Oryzias latipes: one gene and its partners. The protein of the gene in region 5 binds, or shares a complex with, the protein of the main gene of each other region. Links are inferred from orthologs where the notes say so. Each region holds a gene or a part of one and is shown on either strand. Other genes may lie near its edges.

Evidence for each region.
Region 1: ppp4r2 (region 5) and ppp4r1 share a complex: the UniProt entries of both Homo sapiens proteins name them as parts of the PP4 complex. The link is inferred for Oryzias latipes from reciprocal best matches to the Homo sapiens genes PPP4R2 and PPP4R1.
Region 2: ppp4r2 (region 5) and ppp4r4 share a complex: the UniProt entries of both Homo sapiens proteins name them as parts of the PP4 complex. The link is inferred for Oryzias latipes from reciprocal best matches to the Homo sapiens genes PPP4R2 and PPP4R4.
Region 3: ppp4r2 (region 5) and ppp4c share a complex: the UniProt entries of both Homo sapiens proteins name them as parts of the PP4 complex. The link is inferred for Oryzias latipes from reciprocal best matches to the Homo sapiens genes PPP4R2 and PPP4C.
Region 4: ppp4r2 (region 5) and ppp4r3b share a complex: the UniProt entries of both Homo sapiens proteins name them as parts of the PP4 complex. The link is inferred for Oryzias latipes from reciprocal best matches to the Homo sapiens genes PPP4R2 and PPP4R3B.

What each region holds. Positions count from the first base shown.
Region 1 is NC_019863.2:13,851,268-13,857,066, reverse strand, and holds part of ppp4r1 (serine/threonine-protein phosphatase 4 regulatory subunit 1), read right to left. Parts: intron 5,725-5,799; coding exon 5,641-5,724; intron 5,564-5,640; coding exon 5,378-5,563; intron 4,471-5,377; coding exon 4,309-4,470; intron 4,158-4,308; coding exon 4,057-4,157; intron 2,695-4,056; coding exon 2,574-2,694; intron 2,323-2,573; coding exon 2,188-2,322; intron 1,167-2,187; coding exon 1,025-1,166; intron 810-1,024; coding exon 664-809; 3' UTR 1-663. UniProt on the Homo sapiens protein: Regulatory subunit of serine/threonine-protein phosphatase 4. May play a role in regulation of cell division in renal glomeruli. The PPP4C-PPP4R1 PP4 complex may play a role in dephosphorylation and regulation of HDAC3.
Region 2 is NC_019882.2:23,188,805-23,195,665, reverse strand, and holds the start of ppp4r4 (serine/threonine-protein phosphatase 4 regulatory subunit 4), read left to right. Parts: upstream 1-3,109; 5' UTR 3,110-3,366; coding exon 3,367-3,573; intron 3,574-6,861. UniProt on the Homo sapiens protein: Putative regulatory subunit of serine/threonine-protein phosphatase 4.
Region 3 is NC_019866.2:25,209,280-25,214,457, forward strand, and holds part of ppp4c (serine/threonine-protein phosphatase 4 catalytic subunit), read right to left. Parts: intron 4,402-5,178; coding exon 4,350-4,401; intron 4,274-4,349; coding exon 4,223-4,273; intron 3,360-4,222; coding exon 3,258-3,359; intron 3,173-3,257; coding exon 2,999-3,172; intron 2,901-2,998; coding exon 2,774-2,900; intron 2,700-2,773; coding exon 2,510-2,699; intron 588-2,509; coding exon 458-587; 3' UTR 1-457. UniProt on the Homo sapiens protein: Protein phosphatase that is involved in many processes such as microtubule organization at centrosomes, maturation of spliceosomal snRNPs, apoptosis, DNA repair, tumor necrosis factor (TNF)-alpha signaling, activation of c-Jun N-terminal kinase MAPK8, regulation of histone acetylation, DNA damage checkpoint signaling, NF-kappa-B activation and cell migration.
Region 4 is NC_019873.2:15,892,514-15,898,524, reverse strand, and holds part of ppp4r3b (serine/threonine-protein phosphatase 4 regulatory subunit 3B), read right to left. Parts: intron 5,969-6,011; coding exon 5,870-5,968; intron 5,476-5,869; coding exon 4,852-5,475; intron 3,775-4,851; coding exon 3,697-3,774; intron 3,327-3,696; coding exon 3,210-3,326; intron 3,124-3,209; coding exon 3,007-3,123; intron 2,641-3,006; coding exon 2,509-2,640; intron 2,167-2,508; coding exon 2,064-2,166; intron 1,999-2,063; coding exon 1,942-1,998; intron 1,200-1,941; coding exon 1,041-1,199; intron 940-1,040; coding exon 770-939; intron 695-769; coding exon 555-694; intron 422-554; coding exon 276-421; intron 192-275; coding exon 55-191; intron 1-54. UniProt on the Homo sapiens protein: Regulatory subunit of serine/threonine-protein phosphatase 4 (PP4). May regulate the activity of PPP4C at centrosomal microtubule organizing centers.
Region 5 is NC_019863.2:21,901,561-21,908,708, forward strand, and holds the start of ppp4r2 (serine/threonine-protein phosphatase 4 regulatory subunit 2), read right to left. Parts: upstream 4,738-7,148; 5' UTR 4,641-4,737; coding exon 4,607-4,640; intron 4,035-4,606; coding exon 3,953-4,034; intron 1,667-3,952; coding exon 1,496-1,666; intron 920-1,495; coding exon 826-919; intron 731-825; coding exon 693-730; intron 621-692; coding exon 546-620; intron 459-545; coding exon 318-458; intron 242-317; coding exon 1-241. Other genes in the region: gxylt2 (glucoside xylosyltransferase 2), read right to left, coding at 6,357-6,533. UniProt on the Homo sapiens protein: Regulatory subunit of serine/threonine-protein phosphatase 4 (PP4). May regulate the activity of PPP4C at centrosomal microtubule organizing centers.

The DNA of each region.
Region 1 (5,799 bases), about 8.1 Mb from region 5:
TTTCTGTGGTCCACGAAGACCAGGAGAGACTAAAAGGGATTTGAGACGGTGGGAGGGAAGAAACCAGAAGACATCTGAGAAGTCAGAGGACATTAGAGACAACCGACGTTCAGGTGGAAAGCTTGGACTGGTCTGCACCTTCTGCAACTGGAGTTTTTCTTTTACAACCAGAAATCCAGGAGCGGCTCCTTATAACATGAGCTAATAATGCTGTTCAGGTTCAGATGAGTCCCCCTGAGTTAGTGCACACATCAGAGTCCAGCAGGACTCACACACACAGCCATGAAATCCACAAAGAAAACAAAAGACTGGGTTTAGAATTAGCTTTGGAAAGTGTGAGTCTGTGGCGGTGGGGTCGATGTTAGCGTGGGGGTGGGAGCAAGTTCAGACATGACTATGGCAACCGCCACCACGGCCACCAGAGTCCTGCTCGGCTGTGGAAATCTCTGAGTACTTTGCATTTTCTTGTTGTCGTGTGCGCTTCAGCGTCCCTCCAGAGACAGGGCCGCGTGGTCTGAGCATTCGTGCACTTGTACATCCCAATTCAATACTCTCAAAGGGTTCTGGTCCAGATGCTGGTGTGGCCAGTTAAGCCAGCCGTGTGTCGGTCAGGCAGCCAAGAAGGTAAGACAGGCAGGCTGTGAAGGTGTGTGAGAGCTGAGGCTAGATAAAAGGGGCCGTGTCCATTAGGCCTTTGCTTGGGTCCATGCTGGCGAAGAATCGGACGTCTCGGTCCTTGTCGGACTGCAGAGCCATCACAGTCTCCTCCAGCTTGTTAGAATAGGCACAGCCCGGCTCTCTAAAATAAGCTGGGGGAAAAAAAATCAAAAAAGGAGAGAAAAGGTGACATTTTTGCACAAACAGGACATTCAACATCCAACCCAGCATTTCTGAACCTTGCTCATCATCACATCTTTTTGTTGTGGTTGTTGAAGGTCACACTCCAAGGCTTGAATTACAAGGAAATAAACAATGTTGGGAAACTGCAAATAATCTACACACATGAAATGTTCCTGCTCTATACCTTTTTCCATCACGCTCTGACGTAAAGCCTTGGCCACCAGAACGCGGACATTGGCTACAGGGTCTGTGGAGAGGCTGAGCAGACTGGGCAGGAGATGCTGGCTGAACTGCTCCATGGGCATGCAGTCCTCCTCCACAACAGCCTGCAGGAGATTCAACAGAACGGTCAGTCAGAAAGCTGCAGGAGGAAGTCCGTCAACAAGGAGTTCAGTCCAGAGAAATCACATAGAAAGTCAACAAACAGGTTCATCAACAAAGAGCATTCTATGGCATCAACCTTATCTGATTGTGCAACACTGAAGACAAAAAAACAAGTTTTGTAATTATTTTCAGTTGCAGATAAAACCAGCAACACAAACACCCCCCTTTCTGAGCTGAATTGTCCCTCTTGTGTCTTTGAGGACATTTGATTTGGAGACAGCCATGGACACAGAAACAGGAAAAAAAAAAAAAAAAGTGGAAAGCTGCACTGACTAGTCACAGTTTGTAAGTTGATGGGTAAAAACCCCTCAGAGCCCAGAGCACTTTGCTCACTTTTTGAGGTTCAGGTTATCTGCAAGCTTTAATGTGCATCTGGGCTTTTAAACACAAATGAAGTTCTGTTGTTTCACCATGGCTACATATGTAAAGTATGACATGGGCAAGTAAATGAGTTGATCGTTCCCAGAGAATTGTGGGAGGATTTTATAGGCGGGACCAAGCCGAACACCATCTACTTGCTGGTCTTTAATTGACACTGACAAATGTTTTCTTTTGTATGCGAAAACAGCAGAAACAGCTGATATTCAGAGGAAAGTGTTCCTGTTAGAGATCAAACAGATTCACCAGAAATGAAACAGAGAAAACCACAGAACTTTTTAGTCTGTCCAAGTTTTACTCAAATAAAAATGATTGAATGCATGTTTGCATTTAGGAATCAAAGTCTTCTTTGCTGTATTAAAAATTAAGTGAAAATTTTTCCATCAGTTTTGCTTGTAACTTAGAATCACACAGCAGTAATAAAGTTCACACCGGTCAGTCTGTCTTTTGGTTTAGGAGCTCAGTATCAGCATTTTTATACATTCAGTTGAAAGATTAAAACCAAAATAAACAAAAGCGTGTTCAAAGAATTATTGAGAATACCTCTTCCCTAATATAATGTGGATTCTAAAAGCAAACACAGACCTGGCAGATGAAGGCAAACGCCTGCCTCCCCACCCACTTGGGACAGTGGCAGAACCTCACGGTCAGCTCATTGATGAACTCCAAGCCCAGGTCATCAGCCCTGCTGGCATACAGCTTCTGCAGAATTTCCACCACCTGACGACAGGTAAGAGCACACAACCCACTCAGACCACTTCTAGAAGTTTCAATGAATGAATCAGCAGCTGACAAATTGGAATATTTTCCCCAGATGTCGCCTTGATGCTAAAACCTGAATCATGATGGTTATGGGTTTTTTTCTTCCATGTGTGTAGCATCTAAACTTCCTCTCTATTGTGATACTACTGTCATGTTTCTTTAAATATTTAGACATGTCTTTCTACAAACCCCATTTCTTGTAAACTTACCAGTTTGTAAGAAATCCACCGGACTTCTGACACTTTGTCAGAGCAAAGGGTGAGCGCTATATGTCTGAGGTAGTCGTACACGTCACGGTGGTTGTACAACTCTATTATCAAGATCAGCTGCCTGTAGGAAAAAAAAAAACAGCAACACACAATTATGAAGCTGATAGAAAATAAAGTCAGTTAGAATACCTGTAATTTGAACAGATCTAGGGCTAAAAGAACTATGCCTGATTTTATTTAAGACAGGATTGTGTTATGACTTCATACCTATCAAAGCAGAAATGCATTTATGCTCCATGATATGTGGCAATAGGAGCTACTTATTGCGTTCATGTGCACACATGTTCAGTGTGTTGGTTACTGTTGTCACTGCTTGAAGCAAACGTTAAAAATACACAACAGAAAGGGCAAGCTGCCAGCAATGTGAAGCCCGGACTAGATCCAACTGGCACTAGGACCCTGAAGAGACCACGGTCAAGAAAGAGAATATTCTCCAGACACTGTGTCATGAATAATTCACACTTCTCCATTGACGCATGTTTTTGCCTCAACAGTGCACAAGTGTGTGAGCAGAACCAAATGCTAGAATGTTGTAGAATGACTTTCTTTTTCATGTTATGGTTATCTCTTAAAATATACAGATTTTGGCTTTATTCCCCCCCCAAAAAAAGAAGCTAGAAATACAAATAATTATTATTTACTAATCCAGCAAGAGACAGCACATGAATCTGCTGTCAATCAGGATAATGTGGTGTTAAATAAACATAAAAAAAGGGAATGTACAATCCTAAACCCCTTTTATAGATACAGTGTTCATCCATGGTGGTCTCGCTGTTTTCAGATTTTTTTTAGCGTGATTTTGCATGTTTTGTTTACAACACAATGTGTTCTACATCTTGATTGGCTGTTGACCTCGTCAATCAATTTCCTCTGTGCTGCATCTCCTGTAGAGGATGCTTTCAGCGTTCCCCTATTTACATAAAACACTGATCGAGAACAGATCTTTGTATTTATTCTATAATACTGGGCTCATTTTTCCATGAAGGTCTTAGCTTTGAGAGTTTAAACAAGAGAGAAAATGGGAAAATGTAAAGTCTGTCTGAAAAAGTATCGAAAGTGTGCCTAAAGGCTTTTACAGCCTTAAACATCTATACTCTTACTTTGTGGATTTCACCCATCTCGGTTTAATTATCCCTGACAATAAACGAGGGAACACTGTTATTAGTCTGGCTAAAATATTATGATATCTAATATATTGGTTTGCATCCCTCACCCCCTACTGAAACTGTTTCTTAACACCATAGTAGTAGGTTTGCAGATGACAGCCCCTAAACCTACTACTATGATGGAATCAACCTGGATGAATGAGAGTCCTCATAGACATGTTTTTTAACACAGAAATATGAAGCAGTGCTTTATGAATAAACTGAATAGAAAATGATGTTCAAGTCTGTTGTGTGTGAGGAAACAAAAGTCAACGTACTCTGCCAGCTCATATCTGAATCTCCAGTTGCGACTGTTGTCTGTGACCATGAACTCCTGCAGTTGGTACAGATACTCTCTCCTTTTGTCTGCATGCAGCAGCTGCAACAAGAGAATGACAAACAACATTATCTAGCACACCCATGCCAACGACTTCCTTTGGTTTAGAAATGATTTTTAAAGAGCTTCAACATCTTTCACGAAGCAGCTGTGACTGTACCTGCAGCTTTAGTCTGCATGGGAATTACTTTACCTTTAAGAAGTCATAAAGATGCTTCAGCACGCCGATGCGAACTTCATCCAGATCTTTCAGGAAGCCGTTGAATATGGGAACCAGATCAGCGGCTGTCAGCTGGTCGCCCAGGATAACCGCCAGTTCATGGATAGAGAAAGCCAGTGTGCGTCGCACTTTCCACTAAGAAAGACCACAAAGGAAAACACCACAAGATGACAGCAGCAGAAACAGAAAAACAAGCAGCTTAATAAATGAGTTACTTTTTAAGACAGGAAAAAAAACCTAAGATTTACACAGCATAGAAACAAAGGCTCTACATTCACTGTCTGGTTGAGCTAAGTTTTATTGAGACAAAGGGATTTGCTCAAATATGATTAATTTATTGACATTTTAATCTAATTTAATTTAAAATTGTAAAAAAAACAAAAAACGGTCGCTTTATTTGTCTATAATAAAAAAGTTATAAGGGAAAGATAGAGCAAAGGCAAACAAATCATTTGTCCCGACAGTTTGTAGCTTCAGAGTATGTTCCTTTTGCACGGTGTTGTTTCACAGCTCGGAGGGAAAAATACATCAATACCACAACATTACTGATGAAAAAGGACCAAAGTCAAAATCATTTTAAGCTAATTTTTACAAATCAAACTAGTCTTGGAAGAATAGGAAATCCTAAATGAAATACCAATATGGTTATTGTTTACCTTGTGGCGTATCCCCTCAGGGGTTGCCACAGCCAATCACAATGGGACCTTTTCCACTTGATTGAAACACATTTCTGTGGTACAGCTACCATATATTTCTGATGTTCTTTTCCTTCTATTTGAGAAGAAATCTGTTCAGAAGAGTCATGCAAGTTCCTGACATGTTTCCTGCAGAGTTGTGGCCTCAGCATTTTCAGTCCACACATCATTGTTCTTGCTGTTGAGTCAGGTCACATCCCAACAGCTTAAAGTTCAAATTCTGAACAAAAACCCCCAGAGGAATAAAAAGGCAGCGTCTGAGCAGCCTCTCTATCCAACCTTTTCACACACATTTAAGAATCCAACTTCAAATCTAATCCCATTTGTCTTCTTGAGGTTTTCCTGACCTGTACGTCACTAGCGAGGGTCTCGTACGTGTCCTTCAGACAGTGCCAGTTCTGTCGACCAAGAGTGAGGGCTACTCCTGGGAGGCTGAAGGCACAGTGTTTGGCTATCTCCGTGTCCACCGTCTGGGCTCGTGCCGGGTCTGTCATAGACAGGTACTGGTCCAACAGAGGCTGGGGGATGACATTCTACAGGTGGGGGTCAAACACTGGGTTTAAAATGCATTTCTGTGCTGGTAAAAGTACAAAGGGAAAATCCAACTGACCTGGATTTTAGGTTTATCCTCAGACAACGGGCTGTGAGGAGAGTCTTCTTTCTCCTCCTCTACACTCTCGATTAGTTCACACTCCTGTTAAACACAGATCCACACCATCAGTGTTATAGATTAAAAAAGCAGATAACATTATCAAAAAGGAAGGATTAG
Region 2 (6,861 bases), on a different chromosome or scaffold from region 5:
AAGTAAAATGATAAAACAGTTTAAATGGAATTCAATGAGTTTTTAAAGAAGAAATAACATCTTTGAAAAGTATCAGTCTGGTTTTAGGACATACCACAGCACAGAGACAGCCCTTGTTAAAATGGTAAATGATATTAGATGTAACTCAGTCCTGGAACTACTGGATATGAGTGCTGCATTTGACACAGTAGATCACAGTATTTTACTTAACAGACTGAGAGGTTTGGGCATCGCTGTTCTGAAGTGGTTTTGTTCCTATCTCACAGATTGAAGATTTCATAAAAGTATGGATACATGCTTAAAGGTCTTTGAAATCAATTGTCGTGTCCCCCAAGGTTCAATTGTAGGCCCACTACTTTTTAATTCATAAATTATGCCACTTGGGAACGTCATAGGAGGCCTGGCATTTGTTTTCATAGCTATGCCGATGACACAACTCTACATCGCTGTGTCTCCTGAGGATGAAGAGTCAATCAACATACTCTAAAAAATGCATTTTAGACATTAAGTCATGGATGGCTGAGACCTTCCTACAGCTCAACCAGGACAAAACAGAGGTTTTAGTGATCGGTTCTGAAGACAAGAGAGAGATTGTTTTAACCAAACTAAAGAATGACAAAACTTCTCAGTGTGTGAGAAACCTCTGCATTTGTTTTTTTGACCCCGAGATGAATTTTATTCCACAAATTGAAAATAGAACAAAAACAGGATTTTATCATCTTAGATATATTGCCAGAGTCAGCCCATTTCTCTCTATTGCCCGCATAGAGGTGTTGATGCATATTTTTATTTCCAGCAGATTAGATTATTGTAAGGCCCTGCTCTCTGGTCTTCCCAGAACAAGGATATTGAATCTTCAACAGCTGCAAAATTCAGCAGCAATGTATTGACGAGGACCAAGGGGCGGGAACACATTACACCGATTTTAAAATCACTGCATTGGCTCCCTGTGTGCTTCAGGATTGATTTTAAAGTTCCTTTATTGGTTTATAAATGTTTTTATGGTTTCAGGCCTTCATATTCATCTGATATGATTTTAAAGTGTGAGCCCTCGCGGAACCTGAGGTCCTCTGATACAGACCCTTTGGTTATTCCAAAATTGGAAACTAAAACATACGGCGAGGCCTCATTTAGTTATCACGGACCTCGCGTGTGGAGCAGCTTCCCAGCATGCCTCAGGGCCGCAGAGACTGTTCATGTTTTTAAAGAAAGGTTCAAGACCTACCTTTTTAATATAGTTTAAGTTGAATTTAGTAATGAATTTATTTAATTTTTTTGTTATTTTGTTTTTTCTTTTCACTCATTTGATATTTTTTATTCACTTTTACTGATTTATATCTGTCTATTAAGGTTTATTTTTATATTTATTTATCCGTTTCAACTTTATTTTATTGCTTTCACAATTTATTTGTAACTTCAGTGTTTTCCTCAGAGGGATCCTCCACATCAGTGACTGACCTTTTTCAGTGAACGGGGTCACTGCAATGGGATCTACCAGGTCTGGCTCTTATACTTAGATCTGGGGGGTCCCGTGGCAGCTGTTCTGTGAACTTTAGTGGGGGTCAATGATCTGGACATGTCCCTGGACATGCAGATTTCTACATTGCATCATTTCTCTTACCATGGTGTGTGTATGTGTGTGCGGGGGGGGGGGGGTTCTGGGCACTGTATTGGTTTTGGACAAATTATTTGGCTATTGTCTTGTCTTTTGTTTTTAAATTTTAATTGTTTTCATGTAAAAAAAGGACTTTGATTAGCATGGCACATAACAATTGAAAAAGTGCTGTAGAAATAAAGTTTGATTTGATTTGATTACTGGACAATCATCTCTGAAGTCGGCCATTACTTCTACACTCCCCTACTGGAAGGCTAAAATGGCAGCTCTCATATTGGCTGATGTTAACTTGAACCTTTCTCATATGGGGAAAAAAGGCAGGACCGGATTAAGTCATTTTTTTTCCCCTTTTGTTTTTGTCCACACCCATGTTGTACGCCGGACCCTCCATACTAACGCTAACTACTTCAGCTACTTCAGCTTGGAAATGTTTTTTAACATTTAAAGCTTTTATAGTAGAGTGGTGCAACAAACATTTTCACTTATTTTAGTACAAACAGCCCCTTCTAACACATGACAAGTTTGAATGTGTTATTTCTGTGGTCCTAATCTGTCATATCAAAATATGATATCCTATTGTCATTAATCTCTTGATGCTCAAGCTAATATTTAAGTTAACCCTCTTCACACACAGTCACAGCAGGACCCCATAAGCAGAATGAACATCTGTGGCCACAGACCCCAAAATGTGATGTCCACCCATGTGGACCACATGTCTGCAGAGGGTAAAAATGCCTGATGCTGCCTCCTCTTCTGATGACAATCCAAAGAAAAGTAAATACAGAATTGTTCTTTTGAATTCAAACTCATTTACTTAAAAAATGTTGTCAAAATATATTTACATATGGTATGTATGTTGAGTATGAACAAGATTAAATAATAATTATTAAATATTTTCCATTGTGTATTTCAGACACATCTTTGCAAAACCAGCGAGTGTCCAAATGTTTTTTGAGTGAAATCTATTTTATTTTCCTCACAATTGCAGTCTGAATTATCAGTGATGGTTAAGTCTGCCGGGCATCAGAAAGTGCAGCTCAACAAAACCAGATATATCAACATTTACTACGGCGGCGGACGGGATGAAAGAGGACGTCCAACATGCCACAATGCTTACCCCCTTTTTTCTTTTCTTATTTATTTAAAATTTTACATTTTAAATTCTTATCAAAACATTTGGATTCTTGACATTGAGGTTGTCTAAAAGTGGACCAGTAAGGAAGTTATTTGACGTTTTACCCTACAGATAAGGATTTAAAAAAGTGAACAAAACCGCAGCAGAGGGCCCCGTGTCAAAGTTTGCCTGGGGCCCCCAAACTGCTAAATCCGCCAGTGCTCAGGTCAGGGTGTTTTTGTCATTCTGTCCCGGATCAAGCCGTATGCTTCGGAGTTTCCGCAGCTCCGAACTTTGCGTTAGAAATACTTACAGTCGTGTTGGGTTTCTGTTTATTTTGTGTGCGCTGCCACTTTTACGGACAAGGCTGCTGTGGACGACGTGCGTGCTTGCGTGCGTGTATGCACAATGTACTGTAGGCAGTAGTGAGGGGGTGATGACATGCGCACACATAATGCGCGTGACCAGAAGGAGTGGGCATTCAAAGTAGGCTAAGCTCTGCTATTGGTAACACACGCCCTCCCGGGACCAGTTCTGAGAGATCCAGGATGGAAGGTGTGCGTACTGCGGGTTCGGAGGATTCGGTTCGACTTATGTGACGTCTCCCATCCGCGAGCAGGGATCTCCTTGGAAACGGATGGTGGCAGCCTCCCCCCTCCCTCCTCGGTTGGTGCTGAGCTTGCTGCCTGGCTTCCCACAGAAACTACTGACCGACTGGGCCGCTTTCATTCAGCAGATGTTTCCCGGCAGGATGGCCCTGAGCCCCCCCAGCCCGCTGTGCGGGCCCCCAGAGGAGCTGCAGGAGCTCGCCTTCATAGAGCGGCCGATTCGCAGGACCCTCAAGGTAGGGATGCCCTGTCCACGCGCCGGTGGACAGTTCTAGCACGCACGTGCGCGAATAGGCGCGTGAAAACTATGCTGATAGAATGATGGTTCTATGAAGAAGCGGGGGGAGGAAGATGGGCAGCCGAGGAGAAGCAGACGGAGACCCGCAGCGTGACGCAGTTCCTCAGCCTGTCCATACAGAGACGGAGTTAAGATGACGGGCACGCGCTCTTCCACTCTGTTCGAATTTGAAGAAAGAAAGACAGCACGTTTAAGTAGCTGTCACCTCACTGGTCACGCGAAGATGGTAATGACATGTTGGGACAGAGCAAGGGGGTAACTCTAGCGGGCGGGGGGGCAGTACCTCTAATGACCAGAGAGGCTGGTGCTCAGACTGAGCATTTTGTATTGACGAAGTTACAATTGGGATTCCCCCCATAAATAAACCCTTTTATTGCCTGGTGCTTAAACCTTTTTTGCCTAAATGGTTGAACATTTAATACATGACAATTCTGGGGGCAGTGTATATTTTTTAAATTTGTAGCTTTTTTAAACAGTTTATTTTTGCTTAATGGGGTGGCACGGCTTTATGATTGACCGATGATGATCGCGGTGGATTCAAGTATTTGCGCTTGGAGGAGGAGGTGATATTTGAGCCCAATCAAAATTGACATATTTCATAAAACTGCAATAAAAACACTTTTTTTCAAATTAAATGAATCACGTGCCCATTAACTCTGCACAGGTAGCCAGTTTGCATCCATTTTCTTACCCACCGGGGTGCTGAGTTTGCGGAGACTGTCCGGCTACTGTTGGCCGAAGGAGGGAAACACCCTGAACAGATCGCCAGCCGGTCGCAGGGCTATGGGGCTGGAGCGACTGCGCTGGCTACGCCGGCTGAAGAGCAGACAGAGCACCACTGCTGGATGGGGAGGCAAAAAAGTGCACTTTTCTTATTTTTTCATTTTGAATACTTCTTCGTTTGGACAAAATAATATTTTGAGGGAATTATTCAATTATTTCACTGGTTCCAAATCAATCCCCTGGTGCCATTTGTCGTCACTCCATTGTCATCCTGGCATACATGGAACTGCTACTGTAGTCAGAAAGAGTTTTTGGTGGCCTTCCTTACTCTCTGACATGAGGAAATATGGGACTGCAAGTCCAGTTTGTGCCAGGAACAAAACCTCCTGTCTACGACCGTCTAGTCTCCTCAACCCTCTACTATTCCCTGCTGGCCCTGGTCGCATGTCACCATGGACTTTGTGACTGGTCTTCCAAGCTCTGAAGGTAACAACACTATACTAACAGTCGTTGATAGATTCTCAATAATGGTGCACTTTATCGCTCTACCAGGGTTACCTTTTAGACCGCTGAGGTACTCTTGCGTCAGGTTGTCAGGTTGCACGGCATCCCTAGACACATAGTCTCGGACAGGGGCCCACAGTTCACAGCAAAGATCTGGTCTGAGTTTTGCAGACTGCTGGGTGTATCTGTTAGTCTCTCATCACGTTTCCATCCCCAATCCAATCTCCATCAGAGAGACTTAACCAGCAGCTGGAGACCAGCCTAAAAATACTATGCTCTTCAGATTCTTCGTCCTGGTCACGCAATCTGATTTGAGCAGAATATGCCCACAACACCTTACATTGACCTCTACTCGTCCTTTGAGGTTGTCTACCACCTGTGTTTCCCACCCTGGAGGGTGCTGTCTCTGTCCCATCAGCTCAAGCATCCATTCGTATGATCCATCTTTTCTAGTGCAGGGCTAGGTTGGAAATTGTTCAGGACTGTGGACTCCTAAAAGCACCAGGCAGACAAACACAGAAGACCGGCACCCGTGTACGGACACGGTCAAATTGTATGGCTATCCACCTTCTGCTGTGTGTGACCCATAGGAACCTGGCACTCCGTTTCATCTAACCCTTCCCTATAACCAAAGTAATTAACCCTGCTGCTGTAAGGTTACGGTTGCCCTAGCCCCATATGAGTAAACCCCACCTTCCATGTGTCCAAGCTCATGCCTGTCCAGGAATCTGACCTCGTTCCCCCTGACAGACCCCCTCCCCCTGCTCGGTTCATAGATAGGGGTACCGCCTACACCATTAGGGCTCTTCTCAACTCACGACGCAGGGGAAAAGGCTACCAGTATTTGGTCAACTGGGAGTAATACGGTCCAGAGGAGCAATTTTGGGTCCCCTCCAGGCTCATTTTGGACCCTGTCCTGATTGGTCAGTTTCATCGGGATCACCCTGGGCAACCGGGTGATCCATCAGTAGACGGCACTTAGGTGTGGGGCACTGTCAAGATTTGTTTCTGGTTCTCCATTTCTGCCTTCCTATCCCCACTCGCTTCAGCTGTGACCCGGGGTATATTAGATTGGTGTGTTCGCTCATTCTCTGCCAGTTCGTGGTTCCTCATCTGTCGTTGAATCCAACCGTTTGCTCAAGTAATTCTTGTCTGTCTTGTTTCTACTGGCTTCCCAATACATGACTTCCATGGAGTCTGCTCCCCTCAGCCCTTGTCGCTCATGCACAGAGTCTGCTGGCCCCACCTCCCCAACACTCACAGGATTCCCCTCCATGTCAATGACGTCACACTTCCTCAGACGCTCACCAGGACATCGGGCCATTCAACGATAGGACCTTTGGACTCTAAATAAACTTTTTCCTTCCCTGTGCGTGCCTCAACTTAGGTCTCCACTAAAACATAACAATAAAAATAATTTAACGTTTTTGTGAATGACAATTTACTTTTCATTAGAATGATGTATTTATGAGTTATGTTATGTATTTATTTTTAAAATATATCTATTTATTCAAAACATTAAAAGTCATTAACACTGATAATTCTGTACATTTTTTCCTTCATGTAAAGCAGGGGTGCCCACAGTTTTTTGCCGTGCGAGCTACTTTGGAGGTGACAAGCTCTAAAAGATCTACCCATCTATTTATATATATATACCAGGGACGGAATCAACTATCAAGGCTAATGGGGGAATTAAAATAACAATGGTGAGCTATTGACATAATCCAGTGAGGGCCCCCCTGAGAACCCATGAGAGACAATGAATCACGTCATGCCAGACGTCGCCCGTCCAAACAAGATCCGCGTCAGGTGCTGGGGAACCAGAGCACACTGATGGAAAGTGAGCTACTGGAACAAGACGGAAATGGACTAGATGTGAGAACAAGGTTCTGTTGGAATGTTACTACTCCAGTAAAACTACTAATAGAGGTTATGTGCAGAGAATGTGGAGTGAATGGATGCTTCGAAACCCACAAGAAAGGCTAACTGCCAAGCTCAA
Region 3 (5,178 bases), on a different chromosome or scaffold from region 5:
CTGCTGAGTCGTCCTTCAGGAGTTTATTCACAGCAGCGTTCTGAATGGTAGATAGCGAGTCATGTGACATATGGGGGGGGGGGGGGGTCACTGGAATCTTGCAGCAATAACTGTACAGAGACAACATAATATGCATTAAAGGAATTCATTAAAATCATAAAACTTTGCACAGCTGCGTATCTTTGAACAAAGAGAGAAGTTACGGTTTTCCAACTGAAACTAAAAGAAATGGTCTGAATAAAAAAAAGAGGAGCAGAGAGGCGGAGTCGGGCTGGAAGTTGTGTCTACAGAGCAGGACAGATGGAGGCCACATCCAGGCCGCTCCACAGGAGCCAGCAGGCCTCCGGACTGCTTTGAGTTCAGACGGACGCCGCTGTCGGGGAGCAGCAGGAGGCCGGAGGCGCCGGGGAGAACTGGAACTAGAATGGCGGCGCCTTATGGCTGCTGGCCTGGAGCTCTACAGGAAATAGTCGGCGACGGGCTTCTTGGAGGGGATGCCTCTGGTCTCCTGTGGCGCTGCTTCAAATATGATGAACTCCCGCTGTAGATGCTCATCCAGCTCCAAGATGGCCGCAACGTTTCCACACCTGAGTGCAAGGAGACACGGCGAGGTTAAACCAGCACAGACCCTCAAACCGCTAGGCGAGAAGGACGCCGTCTTCAGCACAAACAAGGTTTAAAGCGGATCTCAGAACTTTTCAGATCAGAAAACAAGATAAAAGCCCACAAAACATGTTTTATGAAAAGTATATAAATATTTCAAAATATGTATGTAAACAGACACGAATGTATAACATTAAAACATTTGCTCATTGAGGCTTTTCTATAAACACTAATGACTCTCTGAACTCAACATAAACCTATTTAGACAAAATCCTCAGGATGTCAATCTGAGCTAAAGTGCAGCAGGAGAGCTGACACAATAAAGCAGTGAGATGGTTAACAGCACACGGCGTTCCATGCTTTCTCCAACAGAGAAGCTCTAACTGAACAACCAGATCATTATGGTCTGTCTCTGCTGGAGGGCGTTTCCGTCTGGCCACTAGGTGGAGCTCTCCTTATAGCATTACACTTTATTCCAGAAGATTGGAGCAAAAAATGGAGCTTTAGACCACAAATGGTTACTTTCAAAAATGTTTCTGTAAAAGAGTTTGGAAAATTCCTGCCTGTGAGTCTATAAAGCTGCTCATTGAGTCAGTAATGTATGTTTGGGTCGTCCAAGAGTTAGCATTAGCCGTCCTATGGGAAATTCCATTATACGTTAGCATCAAGCTAGCAGACTTTGGCTTTACTGATGTTATACATTAGATCCCCGGAAAAAAATGAGCATAAAAGATCGATTTCTACTTTAATGGATCTATTATTGATCTACTAAGATTGGATCAATTCAGATCAATTAATCGATTTGATCAAAATCACCGTGCAAAAAAATGTATATACAGTTTTTTTTAAAAGTAAGAAAAGCAGGGAATGTAGGAGGAATTGACTATTATCCATTCTTCCACCATCCCCTGCTACAAGCCCCTCCCACTGGTTCCAGAGGGGCGGCGGCTTCTCCTGCCACAGTTGGGGGCAGCTGCTGCTCCTCACTGGGAGAGTGAATGGTTTCATGAGGCACACATGGAGGCGTGTGCTGCTCATTGATGCTGTTGTAGAGCTCTTCAAAATGAAGAAACGCCATCTGTCATCATCTGCGTCCTCCATGCGGAGGTCGACACGCTTTTGGCGGGAGCTTTAGGCTCACACACCTTAGGACAAACATTAACTAGGACCTTTGACGCATGTTAAACCTTAGCCGTGGCGTGTGGTCCATACAAATCATCCGTTGCACACCTAAATGTCCAGAAAACATTCCATATTTTCTGTTTTATAGGGTGCACCACCAATAAATAACCTATTTTCTACATTACGTCATATATAAGGCGCACTGCACTATAGGGTCCATGAAGAGAGAATAAAAAGGCAGAGGAAAGTCCAGACTTTATAAACAATATTTCTAATTCCTGTTTGCGACGCTCTACACGTTAATTACTTAAGTCGCTCCACATCACAAGTCATTTTGACCAAAATGAAGGTTTATTCTGTGCTCCTCATAGTGCCAAAAATATGCTACGAATTTCTAAATGCAGAACAAATATTTGGAGTTTTGCTGCTTGAAAACATAAATTAACTACAGAAAATAAAATAAATTTTTTTTGCTTTGAATATTGAGACAAACAAACATTTAACAGCTTTGGTTGAATGCAAAGCCTAAAGTAAACAGTTGTACTTTTCAGTCTTAGCAGGACTGGCCGGTTCCCAAAGGTCCATTTTCTCTGCATCTGCATTCTAGTCGTGCTGAAGCACAGCCAGTAAATCTCCTCACAGCAGCAGTCTGAATTAGAGACGCTGTTCCTACAGCTAACCGCTAACCTAAACCTAACTAGCATTCAACTCCTTAAGTGGGCGTGTCCCAAAGGGAGGCTTTTACACAGAGACAAATCAGTGGAACCGGACAGGTGTCCGTCACCTGTAGCAGTAGTTGGGTGCGGACCACACGGTGAGCACAGTCTCGTTGAAGTGCCACTTGTAGCCCTCCATGACCAGCTGGTGCGCTCGACAAATCATGTGGATGTCGTTGGCGGCGTTGAACTGAGCCACCACGTCGCTCCCGAACAGATATCCAGCCCCTCTGGGACTGACCCCCCACCCGGTGGTGTCTGAGAGCAGACCGAAGAGATCAGGCAAACGTGCAGCTTCTCAAACGGAGTCCGGCTCTGGCTGAAGCCGTTACCTTCAGGGTCTGACCACAGAAGGTCACACATGGGCCCATCGTGAGGCACTTCCTGTTTCCTGTCAATGGTCCGGATCTGGTCCAGTGTTTGGATGGAGGGGGACAGCCCTCCGTGCACACAGAAGATCTGGAGGACAGAATGAAAGCCATCAAAACAAAAGCCAAAGGAAAACCTTTTCACGTCCAACATTTTGGAGGAAACGGCGTGAAGAAAACCCGTCCGACCTTTCCATCGATGATGGCAGAGAGCGACAGGTAGTCGAATATCTCGGTGCAGTATCTCCACACCGTCACAGAGCCGTACTTGCGGAGGCACTCATCGTAGAAGCCATAGACCTGTGTGATCTGCCTGGACTCGTGGTTTCCCCGGATCAAAGTGATCCTGTCTGGATAACGCACCTGAGGAACCAAAAACAGGAGGATTTATGTCAGAGACCTGCACAAGTGCAGCACGGAAGGGCTTGATTGACTTCAAATCGTTCACCTTGAGGGCCAGCAGCAGAAGGAAAGTCTCCACGCTGTAGAAGCCTCTGTCCACAAAGTCCCCCATGAAGAGATAATTGGTCTCTGGGACATCTCCCCCCACCTGGTAAATGGCAGGTTTAAAATCAGTGGAATCAACACACAATGCCTTAACGTTTCAAAACTTGACGGTTTTTGGGTTTCCATAATAAACCCTGAACTTCTGCGGTTCTCATGATTCAACTCCAATAGGAGTGAGGCTCTGCTCTTTAATGGCCTCCCCTCCACACACCAGCCAGCCGTCCCTTTCTATAAATGACCCGCTACCGTTTCTTCATCCCTTTGGCAGAAAACACAAAGAGGCCAGCAGAAGGCCTCAGGCTAAAACACACAGTACAGCCTGAGGAGAACCGGTCGGACCATCGGACACCAGAGGAGCGCGGCTGTGCTGTAAACCCACACGTGTACAGACAGAATGAAGGGCAGTTTAAAGCAAACAGCCCAACTTTTGTTTTAATAACACCGTTTGCTTTAAAGTTGACCTGGATCTGGCATCAGCAAACACATTTCAAGGCCTCTGTACAGACATTCTGTTAAAACTACTGAGTACAGAGTACTGCTATTTCTACACAGAGGTCACTAGCAGAAGTTACGGGGCACTTCTCGTGGCGCTCGTGTTTTCATTGCTCCGCCTCGCTGAAGTAGCTCCTCTTTGCTCGCTGCTGTTCTCACATCCGTGCTTTGGACGGACCGGCGGGCGGCTTTTACTCCCAACACGGAAGAGAGCAGAGAGCTGGGGGGAAACGTCTCCATTTTCTCAAAAATAAACAGTCTAAAACATCAAATTGGACATAACTGATTAATGGTCCAGCCCTACGTCACAGCCCATAAAGAAGAAGTGTCCAACCATCAAAACCAAACAGCAGTGCAGGAAAATAAACCACGATTTTGTCTGGAGCTTGGATTAAAACAAACATAAAAGCTTACTCTGAAGAGTTCTTTCAGGTCATAGAACTGACCGTGTATATCACCACAAACCTACAAAAAATAAGAGAACAGAAGGTCAAACGAACAATCAACGACTTTGGATTTAAAAGCAGCAAATGGAACTTACAGTGACTGGAGAGTCTACTCTCTGAACGTTACTCTCTTCAACCAGGATTTCTCTGAAAGAAAGTCATGAACACGTATGACAATGAGGTTCTAAACATGTTCTGTTTAAAAAAAGTGACAGTGTTCTGAAATCTGTCAATTACAAAAGAAGTTTTTTTCATCATTTCAAGAAATAACTCTGGGAATATTGAAAAATACAGTATTGAACAATCCTTCATTCTCTAGTTTCCAGTAACTCTTCACCTTCTACAGGAAAAGCACTTTTCAGGTGACAATAGCACCGATATAGCACTGCCTAGTGCGTCCATCACGATCGACTAGTCAACCCTGATCAATGCGAATTGATCATGGGCCATCAAAAAGAAACTTTGATTGTTTTTATTGCCGTCTGCCAATCATCATCCTTGTCATGAAGTAAATCACTTGATAAGAATGCAGAACAGCCAAACAAACATCCTGTGATGAAAAGGTCATTGCACATCCGTGTTCAACTATACGAGCAGCAGGTCGACCGGCACACTGTCCGCCGGGTCCCCGGGACAGCGTCTCTCCAGCCTGCAGAACCGTGTATGGAAGCACAAGTCGGCCAGCGCCTCCCTGATCGGAAACGAGACCGTGAAGCCCCGTCTGACCCAGCCGTCCTGCCACGGCACCGGCTGCCGGGTCTGCGGTTTCTGCCTGAATGATTGAGGCCCGCTCGGGCAGAAGCCTGTGCCTCTCGAGCTCTGTCCATGAATCAGGGGCCCGGCCCGGTGTGCGCCCTGTCCCCGCCGCTGCTCCACCGCCAGGCTTGTCACCTGGTATAAAACCTGAGTGGGCCAAGGGGGGGC
Region 4 (6,011 bases), on a different chromosome or scaffold from region 5:
ACCTTTAAGTAAAAGATAACAATGGCTTCTTGAAGACATTTTAAGAAGTATTACCTTCACAACACACGTAGGAGGCAGAGCAACTGTTTTGACGGAGGACGACGGACTGCTGTTTGGAGTGACGACCGGAGAAGCAGGAGGGATTGCAGCTGCCTTCCCATTATTGGCACCATTTGCTCCGTTGGCAGCACCTGCAGATATAAAGATACTGATAAAGTTGCAATCCACAAAAAATAAAAAAGGTTCTTCTGGATATTTCTGCCAGTGCAGCTTACCCTTTTTGGTTTCCATGAACTTGCCGTAGCTGTCAGAGAAGTCATCCTCCATCCTTTTCTCCGTTGACTCTCCATCTTCATCATCCTCATCGTCATTGAACCACATCTCTTCATCTTCATCCAGCGATCGCGCATCTCTGCGATATCTACAGGGGAAGAAAACAGATTTACCAAACAGTTTAGCTTCTATGTAACAGAAAAGTGAAAAAGAGAATTTTTTTATAAATTCTTGAAGATGCAGATCACATCAATAAAAGGACTGTATCTCAGACTGCTCACCTGTTGAGTCTCTGACTCTGTCTGTCTTTTTCCTGTTCGTAACGCCCTTTCAGGCCCTTAAAGGTCTGAACATACTCAATGGGTTCAAGTGCTTTGTAAAAGTTATCCACAATGTGAGCGATGAGTGATTTGATGTCCTCCTAAAAAAAGACATGTAGAAAATCTTAATTTTGTTGCAAACACAAACACATGTTGCAGTTGGAGCTTTTACGCACCACTTTAATGAACTCAAAGAGCTCAATGATGGCTGAGTTGAGGAGGTTGTATCGAGTGCCGTTGTCCAGCAGGGCATTTATGACAGGCTCAAACAGGTTCCCTTTGATGATGTAGCGGTTGTAGTACTCATCTTTCAAACCAATGATTCTGCGCATGAAACGCAGGGCACCTAAAACACAAAACAAATACATTATTGTGAAAAACATTACACTCGAAGAAAACAAGACTGGAAGCTTGGGCTGCAGGTCATTTGCTCCTGGATGGACTTACAAAGAGCAAGAAAGGTGTGCTTCGAGTTCATGAGCACCAGCACTCTCCTGAGCAGGTCTTTGTTCATGATGTAAGTCTTGATGTGGTAGGTGTGGTGTTCCACGCAAAAAGTGAGCAGCTCCAGGATCAGAGCCAACAGCTGAGCTGTCTGGAAGTTGTCTACAGAAACAAGAAAACGACTTATGTTTACTTACACAACAAACCAAGGCTTGAGGCAGTGCTTCACAATTAGTTTTTTGCAAGGAAGAAATAGGTAAAAAACATTATGCTGATTTTTTTCAAAATGATTATTTATGATATCATATAGTGCAGCTGTTTTCCTGCTGTCTTCATGTCAAATACTGACACCAACTAAACGACAGGCAGACAAAGAATACATTTATGGAAAATACAGAGACGTCATCAAAATGTCTACAATAGTTCTTAAAGAATGACATTATTAGCATGAGGTGAGTAATCTAAAGGCACGTGATGATCCTGGTGTTGCGCAATCTAGCGCTCCGCATGCGCTGTTCAACCTGCAGCCTGAGCGCACTACCCCTCCCCTTTCATTCTCACACACGCTGTCTGTGACAGCAGACAGGAGCAGCTGCAGGGACGGCAGTTCACAGGTTTCAGGCTGTTATAAACTCTGTCATATAACAGATAAGAGTAAATCAATAGTGGCGCAGATTTTATTCCAAGCACTGAGCCGCTGTCACTACAGCGCCCCGTTAAATTTGCGCCCCAGGCAATTGCCCGTATTACCTGTGCCTGAAACCGCTACCACTGCGCGGCCCCCCCTGGCATCGCCCCACTATTTGAGAAGCACTGGCTTAAGCGAACCTGTGTACTCTGAGTAGTAACGTTTCTAGAAACTGTGCTGTACACAGGCTGGAACATTTACTGCATTAACACCCACCTGGACAGACAGGGTTGATCTTTGTGGATCCGTCTTGCTGATCTGAAACATCAATATCTGCATAAATCAAACAAGACCTTTTCCCATACAGCAGAAGAAAAACAGCAAAGTCCCAAGTTTACCTTTCGTGGTCTTGTCATGTGCCGTGTTGGCCAGCAGAGGAGCAGTGAGCACATGCATGCAGTACTTGTAGAAGAAACTCAGAAACTCAGTCTTCTCTGTTTTCTATCAAAACATGAAAGGAGAAAAAGACATGAAAATTTAATCAAAACAACAATCAAGCTTTATTTTTTTCATCAAATGTATTTTTTTTTTTTACTTTAGGTCAACGATCAAGATTTCAGACCAACTATCAATAATCAGCTGGAGTTCACAACGAATCTATGAGGCTTTTAGGTTGAAAAGTAACAATTTGCTGTTAATTATTTAACATAAAAATGTTGAAATGAGCTACAAGCTCAAACCGACCAAACCAAAAGTGTTTTCAAGAATGAACATCAGAAAAAAATAATTACATTCATGTAAAATAGAGGAATCCTTTTTTCTGTGTAGTTGTGTGGAGCTTACATTGGTGGAAGCCAGCATGTTTTCAGGATCAATGAGAGTCCTGAGAAGGCCCATCAGCTGAACAGCTCCTCCTAACTCTGGGTCTGAGTCACAGATCATCTGCTTGATCACCACATTTATCAGCAGAACATCCTGACACACAAGCACAAAGGGAAAACAATGAGGAAAGAAAATCTGAAACGTATACTGTGATGTTTCTAAGAGTAAGTAAACAGAGTTTATAGTAATCAAAACGGCATATAGATGAACTTTCATAAGGATTATTGAAATGGGGTTTAAAAAAAAAGCAACAAACCCCTAATTGCTGATAACACTTCAGAAATATGGTTTCATATTATCCAACTTAAAACCCACTTGATTTATTTATTTTGTACAACAATATAAAAGTAAAAACAGCACAACACTTTCAAAAATCAGTACATTTATAAATCAATATCACTGTGGATACAGGTTAAACTCAAAGCAGAGCTTGCTTGTGACAGATGAATCCAAACTTACGTCATCCGTCTGCTGAGGCTCCTGCATGACAAACTCTCTGACCATGGAGGGGCTGAATTCCACCAGGTAAGAGAAGATGTCTGTAGCTGCTGCCCGTACTTGTAGGTCATTCATTCCCTGATAACAACAAATTGGAAAGTGATGATGCACGCATTCCTCTGAATCATCCAAAAGCCAGCATTTTAAACAAAAAACAGACATACCATTACTATTTCCAGAGCAGGTAAAATCCCCAAATTTGCCAAGGTTTTAAAAAAGGCATCCCTGTTTTGTGGTTGCAAAGTTTGGGAAAAAGCACAGAATTCCTTGACAAAGTTCACCTAAAAGTGAGAGGGAAAAAAGGACAAAAAGAAAAACGTAGTAAGTAAAAAAAACCAACATATTTAACCCTAATTTCCCTTGTTCTACAATGCTTTTTTCCAGCGGATGTCAATGATTACACCTGATCCAACAAAACAATTCAAATTCAACAAATGCTATACTATTGAATAAGGAAATGAACTAAGACAGTATTTACTCAAACTTCAAAATTAAAGACCAACCATTAATGCTTTCAAAAAAACAATAGTACAAATATTAAACATTTCCATTCGACTATAATGGAATGTAATCTTTGAAACCATGCCGTTTACAAATAGATTTTAAACAACAAATAAAGGGTTTAGTGAAGCATGTTGATGATTAACTTACCAACTCTCTCCTTTTACTGTCATCTGTGGCTTCATCTGTAAGCTGTGCAAAGACCTCTGTTAGGAACTTCTCATCCTCCTGTGGAAAACAGGGAAAACAGTTCAGGTATAAACAAACAGAATGACAGAAAAAAACAAAAACAAAGGAGAAGCTGGAAGGTTTAAATATTTAATTCTCTTTCACACTGTCGCCCACTGACTATGCCTTTTGTTTATTAAATAAAACTTTACAGAGAGTTGGCTCTATACACACAATTTCTAAAAAAATTGATACTAAAAAAAATGAGACGGTCATTTTTTCAATCCAAACACCATATGTTCTCATTAAAGTGTTCTAATGTATTTTTAACCAACTGCGGTTGTCTCTTTGCCAGGACTCCCTTGGTATTATGCCGGCTAAATCAAGTAAATAAATAAATAAAATGAAGTGTGAAAAAATTGAGCAATTTCAGATCAAAATTAAAAACCTGGAAGAGATCATGCAAGAGATTGGAAGAAACAGGAAATCAGTTGGAACTGATTACACCATGGAAACAATACAAACAGTGAAGAGTGCCGGAAGTTATTTTTAAAATATATATATAAAAGACAACTAAACTATTACTATCAGGTAACATTAAAAAAAAAGTTAAAAACAGAAGAAATCTGAGATATATGATGAAAATCTCAAATGATCATCTTAAACTTTTATGTGAAAATGTATTAAGACATTATTATGGAAACAATAGAGGGGGACACATTATGACAAAGCAGGTTGAAGCTTTGTAGAACAACTCATTCTCTTGGCACATTCTAAACGCTGTCATTTTTTTAAACAAATATCTTGACTTACAGTGAACTTTTCAAGAAAATAATGCAAAACACACTAGCACAAGTATTATCCTGTTCAGTTTCTCTCAATTATCTCCTATTTATGTAGAGAACACATTTTTAAAATCACAATTTCATTTTTTTGCCATAAATTTTTTTGTATTAGAAACTGGAGAGAGTACATTAACGTAGCGAACAACAGAAGATACAGACTGTCCAACAGTCAATGTGCAGAATGTTGATTACATCTTAAAAGAATCCCTTTTAATAGAAAACATTTTAATTTACATTGTTAAATACATTAAACTGAAACTTACACTCACTTTAGCCTGGTTTAGATCCTTACCTGCAACATACTGACAATCTCCACTTTGTTGAAGAAAATGAAGGACGTGAGGGTGGACAGGAAGTTCTCCTCAAACACTGAGGGTGTAGGCAGTATTATGTCCTGGATGTATTGAACTCTGTAGGTCTGGTGGATTTTCTGCCGCAGCTCAGAGTCCGTAATCGGGATCACTTCCTTAAATTTTGCGGTCTTGGTCAAGAACTCCCGATGTCTTTTAGGCTGAACCAATGCTGGGTCATACTCAAGGCAACCTACCACATCCATGATACAGTCATCCGAGAACATCACCTCAAAAAGGGCAGCTTTGTTGAGGAACAAGACTCCCCGCACAACCTCATAGAGGTGATGCAAGCCTTCTCTGTTGTCCAGGTCCTCGCATACTCTGAAGAGACCCAGCAGTTTCTTTATGTAGCCCTCACTCATTAGAGCCAGTGCAAGTTTTTCGCGCCGAATGGGTGAGGAGAGAACAGAGGTAACCAGGTCAGCGATTTCCTCAAGTCGACCTAGTTCACATGGCGGGAGCTCAACCAAGTGGCTTGTCTCTGGAATTTCCTCAAAGTGGTCCTCCTCTGATTCATCGATGGGATCCTGAGTGATGTCCAGAGCAGGGTCTTTGCCTTGTACCTGAGCAAAAATAATAAAATAAAAATCACATATTTAAAAAAAAAAATTTACAGTAAAGAATCATGAACTCCCTTACTTGGGATACTGGTAGTAAAAACTGCAAAACTCGCAGCATTCTTATACATTCTAAACGTATGTGATACTTGCAGGTATGAGCCACAGCTAAAAATAAACTTATTTTTTTTGCTAAAATACAATGTCAAACTTTAACGAGTTAAAAGACCAAAACCCTCAATCCCTTTATTTATAAAAAAATATATATGTTATTTAACATGTTTCAATCGTTATACAGTAACAGTTACAAAGTCCCACCTGACAGGAACGTTTTTCAAACATCAAAGAGAAGGGACACCAAGAAGGAGGGACATGCTGAACTGTCTTTATTTGTAATTACCTGACAGATCCTTTCCCAAATCTCATCACAGCCAGCCTTTTCCTGGAAGCTTAGAGCAAGATCGTAATTATCCGCTTCTGACCAAACAATCAGTGTGTCCTGAAAGAAAAGAATGAAACTTTTTCCTATTACCAAAAATACA
Region 5 (7,148 bases):
CTGGACCATGGCTTCTGCCTCCTGGGAAGTGCAGGAGCTCTCCGAAGGCCTTGGCGCGTCCGTCTCCTCCTCCTCCTCTTCCTCCTCCTCCTCCTCCTCATCGTCTTCTTCCTTGCTGAACTTGAGTCTCTTTACCTCCTGGTGTTCAGCCTCCATGTCCTCCTCCTCCTCCTCTTCTTCGTCGTCCAAGTGTTTGTTCTTCACGGCGCTCTCCGGGGAGCCGTCTGAAGGCGAGGCCCCACTGACAAAGACAGGCAGAGGTCAGAGCACGCTTGGGCAGCAGGGGGCGCTGTGCTGCACCCTGCCTTGGGCAGTACCTGCCGTCTCTGCTGCCCTCCTGCTCTGTGCTGAGGTCTTTGTTGTCTGTGCTGTCTGGCAGACCGTTAGCTGCTACTGTGTTGGCGAGGGACACCTTTGGTCTGCAGAGCGGCCGCGGCGTTCCCGGACCGTTCACTTTCCTGACAGGACAAGGAGAAGGTTAGAAACCAACAGACAACGAGGAGGGTTTGGGCGTTTTTTTTTTCTCCCCGTTATTTTGGACCGACCTCTCTGTGAAAGCAGACGTGGTCCCGGGAACCATCACCCCGTTCATCCGGCTCACAGAAGTGCTGCCGTTCTTCCTGAAACACAAGCAAAGTCAGAAGACGCTCGCCGTCCGCTGGACGCCGTCCGTGCACCAAGCCAGCACTTACTCTGATGTTGGATGGACGCAGCTCACCACCATCACGTTCTGAACAGGACAAAGAAATGCCGAATGAGTTGAGGTCACGTGGAAGCTTCTGGAAATAGCACCCCCCTCCCCCCCTTGTGTGTTTTGGCTCTCACCTTCTCCACCCCCCGCAGAAATTTGTCTGTTCCCGTGTAGTTCCTCTTGGGTTCCGTGAGGAGCTCGCACAGCCGCTGGATGGTGAACGGGATCCTGGAGTTCAAACAAACGCAGTCATTTGGGGGGTGGGGGCTGGGGGGGGGGCATAGACTACGACACGCAGCACCATTCTGGAGTGGAAACACATTCTCAGCACAGACAGCAACTTAAAAATTCAGATGCGAGTCAAAACCTCTGGCCACACAAATGTCCCAAAGTTCACATAATTGAACTTAGTCGAAGAATTTGTGTCTTGTCAACCAATCAAGAACTCAAGTCTGGTAGTGACGTGTTGTAATGTGATCAGTGGGTGGAGTCCAAAACCAACATGGAGGAGAATCTGATCACACTCGTTTGTTCTCCTCCTGAACGTTATTGTATTTGTTTTTTGGATGGAAACAATATATTTTTTTTTTCCTCCCCGGAATTATGTGGGACAGCAAGTCGTCAAACATCTCCCCCCACAAGCGTCAGGAGCGGTGTCTTTTCTTCCTTTTACATCCCAAATCGTGACCAAGAATGACATTCCTCCCTTAGCATTTCTTTAGCTTCATATTCAGAGATGAGGTGATGGTTGATCGGTAACTCCACGTCCCTCTGCCGGCCGGCACAACTGGAGCGTCCACTCACCCGTTGTAGCCGTCCACAATCTTCAGGATCCTCTCCTTCATGTCTTCGAATGGAACAGACTCCACGTTGGGGTTGGCGGCGCCTCTCTGTTCGGGCGCCGACGCTCTGAAGTCGTCCATCACCGTCTCCAGCTTGAACAGGAAGTAGCTTTTGAACTGAGACCACTGGACCCTGGAGAGTTGGACACAGGAGATGAGGATGAACAGGAAACCGGTAAAGTACTCCTTTGTCGTAGTATTAATCCATGTTCCTCTTTCTTTGGTAAAAACAACCAGCTGCTCGGTTCTGAGTCTTAATCGCTCTTTCCTACTCTCAGCTCTGAACTTGTTTTTTGGGTATAAATGACTGAAAACACATTGATATGATCAACCTATAAAAATGTTTGATCCAATAGAAACTTCTAAAATATTCAAATAAACCAAATATTGACCTTTTGCAAATGAAAACCCTTCTATTATACAGATTTATCTCTAATACACTTTCATTTCATTCAATCATATAGGAGAAGCCACACTTTACGCCTTAGTCATAACTTCCCTTATGGGTGGATCCAGGCTGTCTGCAGGTTAAGAATTGACCAACCTGTGCGGGCCAAACAGGCGCTCCACAAACAATATCAAATTCGTAGAACGCTCGAAGAGCAAATAATGTTTTCTGGATGATCTTCATCCAGTGTGGGTCCTTGGGCAAGACCCTTCACACACTGTGCCGGTCCCCAGCCCGGAAATAAATAGAGTTGTGGCAGAAGAAATAACAATCTCTGCCACCTGTATGAATCAGTGAAAGCTGATTGGCTGTGGCCACCCCTGAAACGATATGCCGAAAGGGGAACAAACGAGTTTAATTCCCGTGGACGTCCTACAGGCACTTGCATATGACCTGCACTCCCACGTGTGCAGCAATTGCACGCCGTCAACAATGAGTCAGTATGCGCACCTTACTAAACAAATAGTGTAGCGTAAGGCCCCCGTACGACACCAGCACCTGTACATCAAACCTACATCCTTACAAATACTTTACAATACGCTTAACACACGCAAGACAATCATATGTTTTATTTTCACGATGTCCCTCAAGGTCGACAACCCTGGAAAAACCAAACCCAGTACGGCAGCATGTGACTAAGGCTTTACTAACAGAAATATCAGCAGAAGTGGTCATTTTTACCAACACCAACAACCTCCTGTATCCCTAAATATAGCATCAAGCTAACATATATTTGAACTAGAATGGCCTCAGTATGTTTACCATTCTGTAGCTCCACAGCATCTACGACATTTCTTCACCTATTATTGTAAATACACCGAAACTGAAATCTAAGCCCGAATGAAGGGATATTCTGAATAAAACAAAGACCTATAAATAAGCTGATTTTGTGGTCTTCCTCTTCCACTAGAAGTGATGAAGCTTCTTGGATGGGCTTTTGTTAGACGATAGAAAGAAAAAATAAAGAACCTTACACTCATACTAGCTGGGAAACGTAAATCAACCCAGTTTGTATGTTTCTTATTTGTTTAAAACGTTTTCCATCACCTCAAAAAAAACCTTTATTTTTTAACCTCTTTTCTCGAAGAGACAAGTTATCGCTAGACGACTGGTGATGCTACAGTTGATTACTTAGCCCCTCACACACACAGCTGTAATAAGCATAAGTATTCATTTTTGCCAACATCTGTAATACATTTATTTATTTCACTCATTATTCCATAATAATTCTCATAAAGAAAGCTCACTTTAACCAAACTTTAATAAAATTTTGTGGTCGTGGATTCACAAGTTTCAAGGTAAAGCTGCACCATTCTCTGTGTAACAGGTTTTTAACGTCACGTTTAAAATAACACGGCACACATTCGATGTCTGCAGAGGGCAACACATTCAACATTTGTTGAGTTCCATAAAAGCAGGAAATGGTATCGGGGCAGATGAACGTTTCCGACAACACTGACAATAATAGACACGGGTAAAACTGGAGAAAGTGGAAAGTTTCAAAGATGTATTCTTCTTATGACCGGAAACCCCCCCCGCAAACATCTCCAAAAACTCTCTGATGGGTCCAAATACAATATCAGCAGTGTTTTCTGTGGGATGTAACTGCAGACACCGAACCATAAACTGCTATCTGCATGGACTTCAGACTGAGAAGTAAACCAGAGTTCACCTCTATAGTATAGAAGCTGTCACGAATCTGAAAACCAGGTTGCAAACAAAAATGACTCAAAAATCAAGGAATTATCCGAGATAAGTTTGATCCCTTCATCCTGACTGACCCTTTTCCCCCGTTCTATTTGACCCTATTTCGTGCAGAACTTGCATTAGGAAAAGCATATAGGTAACTGTCATAGTAAGAATTTCCTGTGAAAGTGAACAATAGAGCATCAATGGAAAGTGAAAGGCTCAAAGTAAACCGAAGAGTTTCAAATACTGGAGCAGAAAAACCGAGAGAAAAAGGACACTTACATGGTCTGTCCAGTTTTGGCAACATGGCACAGGAACTCCTCCAGAACAGGGGATGGTTCCTTTTTAGATTTCTTGTCAAAATCTGTAGAAACATTTTAACAAATTGGCTGAACACGAACAGGTCTCGATTTAGCCTAGCTTAAAAAACGAACAGTTTAGCCAAACTGAGCAGCTGAGAATGTCGGATTAATTTGTGGTCGTCCAGTTTAACCTGGTTAACGCTCAATGCCCACTTTAACTCAACCCGAGGAATTAATATATATCGCTGAACCCTTCCTTTCGTTAAGTGTTGATCAGCAGTTCCTATTAGCTTATCGTAGCCCTGCGATGCTAACTTTAGCCTAACGGGGAAGCCGGTAGTTTTCCCCAAAGCGTTAGCCGGCTAATTCATCTGAAATCATGGTGCGTGGAAAACAAAAAGAAGAAAGCTAACTATAAGAACTAACTAGTTATTTCAAAAAAAAAAGAAAGGAATACATTAAAAAGAAAGCTAAGCGTTTCGAAGACAGCACTAGCTAATAAGTTAGCATCGGTTGACACTAGCTCTCGTAAACTAAAACCCACTTCATTATCGCTTTTTTTAGTGTAACCTAGAGCAGACATTTATCAGATATTTTTCGTCAGCTTGGTGTTAAATGAGGAGAAGAAAGTGACCTATGAGCGCCTCTTGAATCGAGTCAATTTCCATCACGTCGTCGCCTCTGTTAGTGCTGAGGGTGTCAACGGCAGGATGGCGGCTAGCCGATGCTAAGCTAGGCTAGGAGGCGGCGGGGGGGGGGGGGGTAATTAAAGATGGCGTCGTTAAGTCACAGCCCGAGTCTAACTCAACAAACAGAAGAGAACTGATACAACACAACTAAAAAAAGAGCATTCCCAGTAGACTTTTTTTTTTGCAGAGCAGCATATATGAAGTTAGATTTGTTGCACAAAACGGTTTGCACCTGTAATGAGACATTTGTGTGTGTTGAAAGATTTAGTATCTGTAGAAAACAGATTGTCTGTCTGTTTTAAAAATGTTTGTACCCGTCATTAGAAATGTGTGCGTCTGTAAAACTGTTTTATAACGGGAAAACAAACATGTCTGTCTATAAAGTTGCTTTGTCCGTGTGTGAAATGTCACACGCACAAATAAACATGTATTTATCTACAATGACAAAGTTACAAATACAGTATGTTTTGCTTCTCACTAAATCAACCAATCAGCAGCCATGAGCTGTCACCCAATCTGTGTGCTGCGTATATTGTAATTGATGTATTTCATTACAATATAGCAACTAAAAGAAAATAAGAGTTGGTCATTATTATTAAAAAATATGTCTGAGTTGTGGGTGGGACCATTGGCCCGGAGCAACCCCACCCCCCTGACCCTTCCCCTTTGCTGAGAGCTCTCTATTTACACTCTCTCCTGCTAGCTTACAGTCCCTCACATCCCTAGTGGCGTTGCAGCAAAAAATGGCGACCAATGTTGGAGCTAATTGAGCCAGATGCTAGCTCGGACGAGGAAAACGAACATTTAGATAGATGAATCAGAATGACGCGGAGCACAATTTTTTTTTTAAACTGCATTTTTTGTCTGCTCCTAATTCACAATTTGAACGAAGTAATACTCAGAAATGCAATCTCAAGCTTAACTTTCTTGATATTTTTCTTCCATCGTCAGAAAAAATGCCACGAGAACATGTTAAAAACAACAGAAACACAATTTTATCAGAGTGGGTCTTTCATATAAAAGAATGTGGTGTCTTTAAGACTCCGCCCACTTACCAGGACAAAAGCAAACAAGGTAATAGCAGGGGGAAAAAGACTCACAATGGGTTAGTTTTTTGCAAAAATTTTAATTCTGAAAACATATGTAGACTCCACAAACTTTTCCATGTAACACGTGGGTCACAACAGCACAGATTCATATTACAGGCTCACACACACCTACACAAATCCATTTATTTTGTATGGTAAACATGGCACACATGAACATTAATATGGCGTTTAAACTTCACTCCAATAAAACATTCTTGCACAATCTGTCCAACTCGGTCAGGCAAAGTCTCACGGTCTAAAAGAAAAAAATCTTTTTTAAAAAGTGCTTTTCAAACATTTAACATACAAACATTTAATACAGACAGTGGTGGTTCGTTCACATTTCATGGTGACGCTAAAATATTCACCATTCTTTAAACTGTCCAAGAGTTGCTCTCATACAATTGAACCTTTAAAATGTTCATTTTAGTCGCTTAGAAATGCTTGAGATGAGCATTTTTCTCAACATAAATAAAAAAGTGACTTCTTTGTTTGGTTTCTTTTTATTTACTTTTTTATTTCTGTAGAGTTCATGATCCTTCACAGGTTGCGTCTGCTTTAAATGCACAGCATGGGGGTGTGGGTGGGGCAACATGGTCTTCGGCTGTTAATTTCGAGGTCTGGCATGGCGCACCACCTTCCTCTCAAAAGCACTCCTCATGGTCTTCTCTATCTGCTTGAGGAAGACCTGGGGAATGCGACCGCACAGAGTGTTGACCGTGTCCAGGAACCTGCTCTGGACCGGGTAGAACAGCGATTGGAACATGTTGTCCTCGAAAGGGAACTGCGGAGACAAAGGCGTAACGTCAGATCCCCAGCCAGCTGCTGCAGGAAGACAATTTTGTAGGTTGTGTCCGAATTCCCTCACTACTTTATGCACTTTCTGTGGCGTTCGCCATTTTTTTTTCCGGGGGGTTCAAATCTACAATTCCAAAATCCAGTGCCCTGGACAAGTCCCTGAGGTCTCTGCTTAAAACTAATGAGCATCGATGCACAGTAGATCAGGAAATATAGACCACAATGCATTGCGGTTAAACAATTTTTTTCGGGAAAAAAAATTGTTTTTACCATACTTAAGGTAAAAAAAAAAAAATTATACTTAAAAAAATAAATCATCATCAATTTGCCTATTGATGGGCTTTGGCGTGTTGGCGAAAATGGCTAAATAATTTTAAAAATTTATGAGAACATTGGCTTTAGAGTCTTCATATTTACAATCGAATTTCTTAGGTTTTACTTTGGTAAATAAGTTCTGAACTATATTGTGTTTCAGGAGTTGGGGAGAAGGGAGGGAATTCAGAGACAGCCCTCAGTTTCAGGCATTAAACAATAAAATTCTGCCCCAGTTGTCCTTGGCAGGCTCATCTCTGTCAGAGTAAGGCAATATCCGAATTCCCAC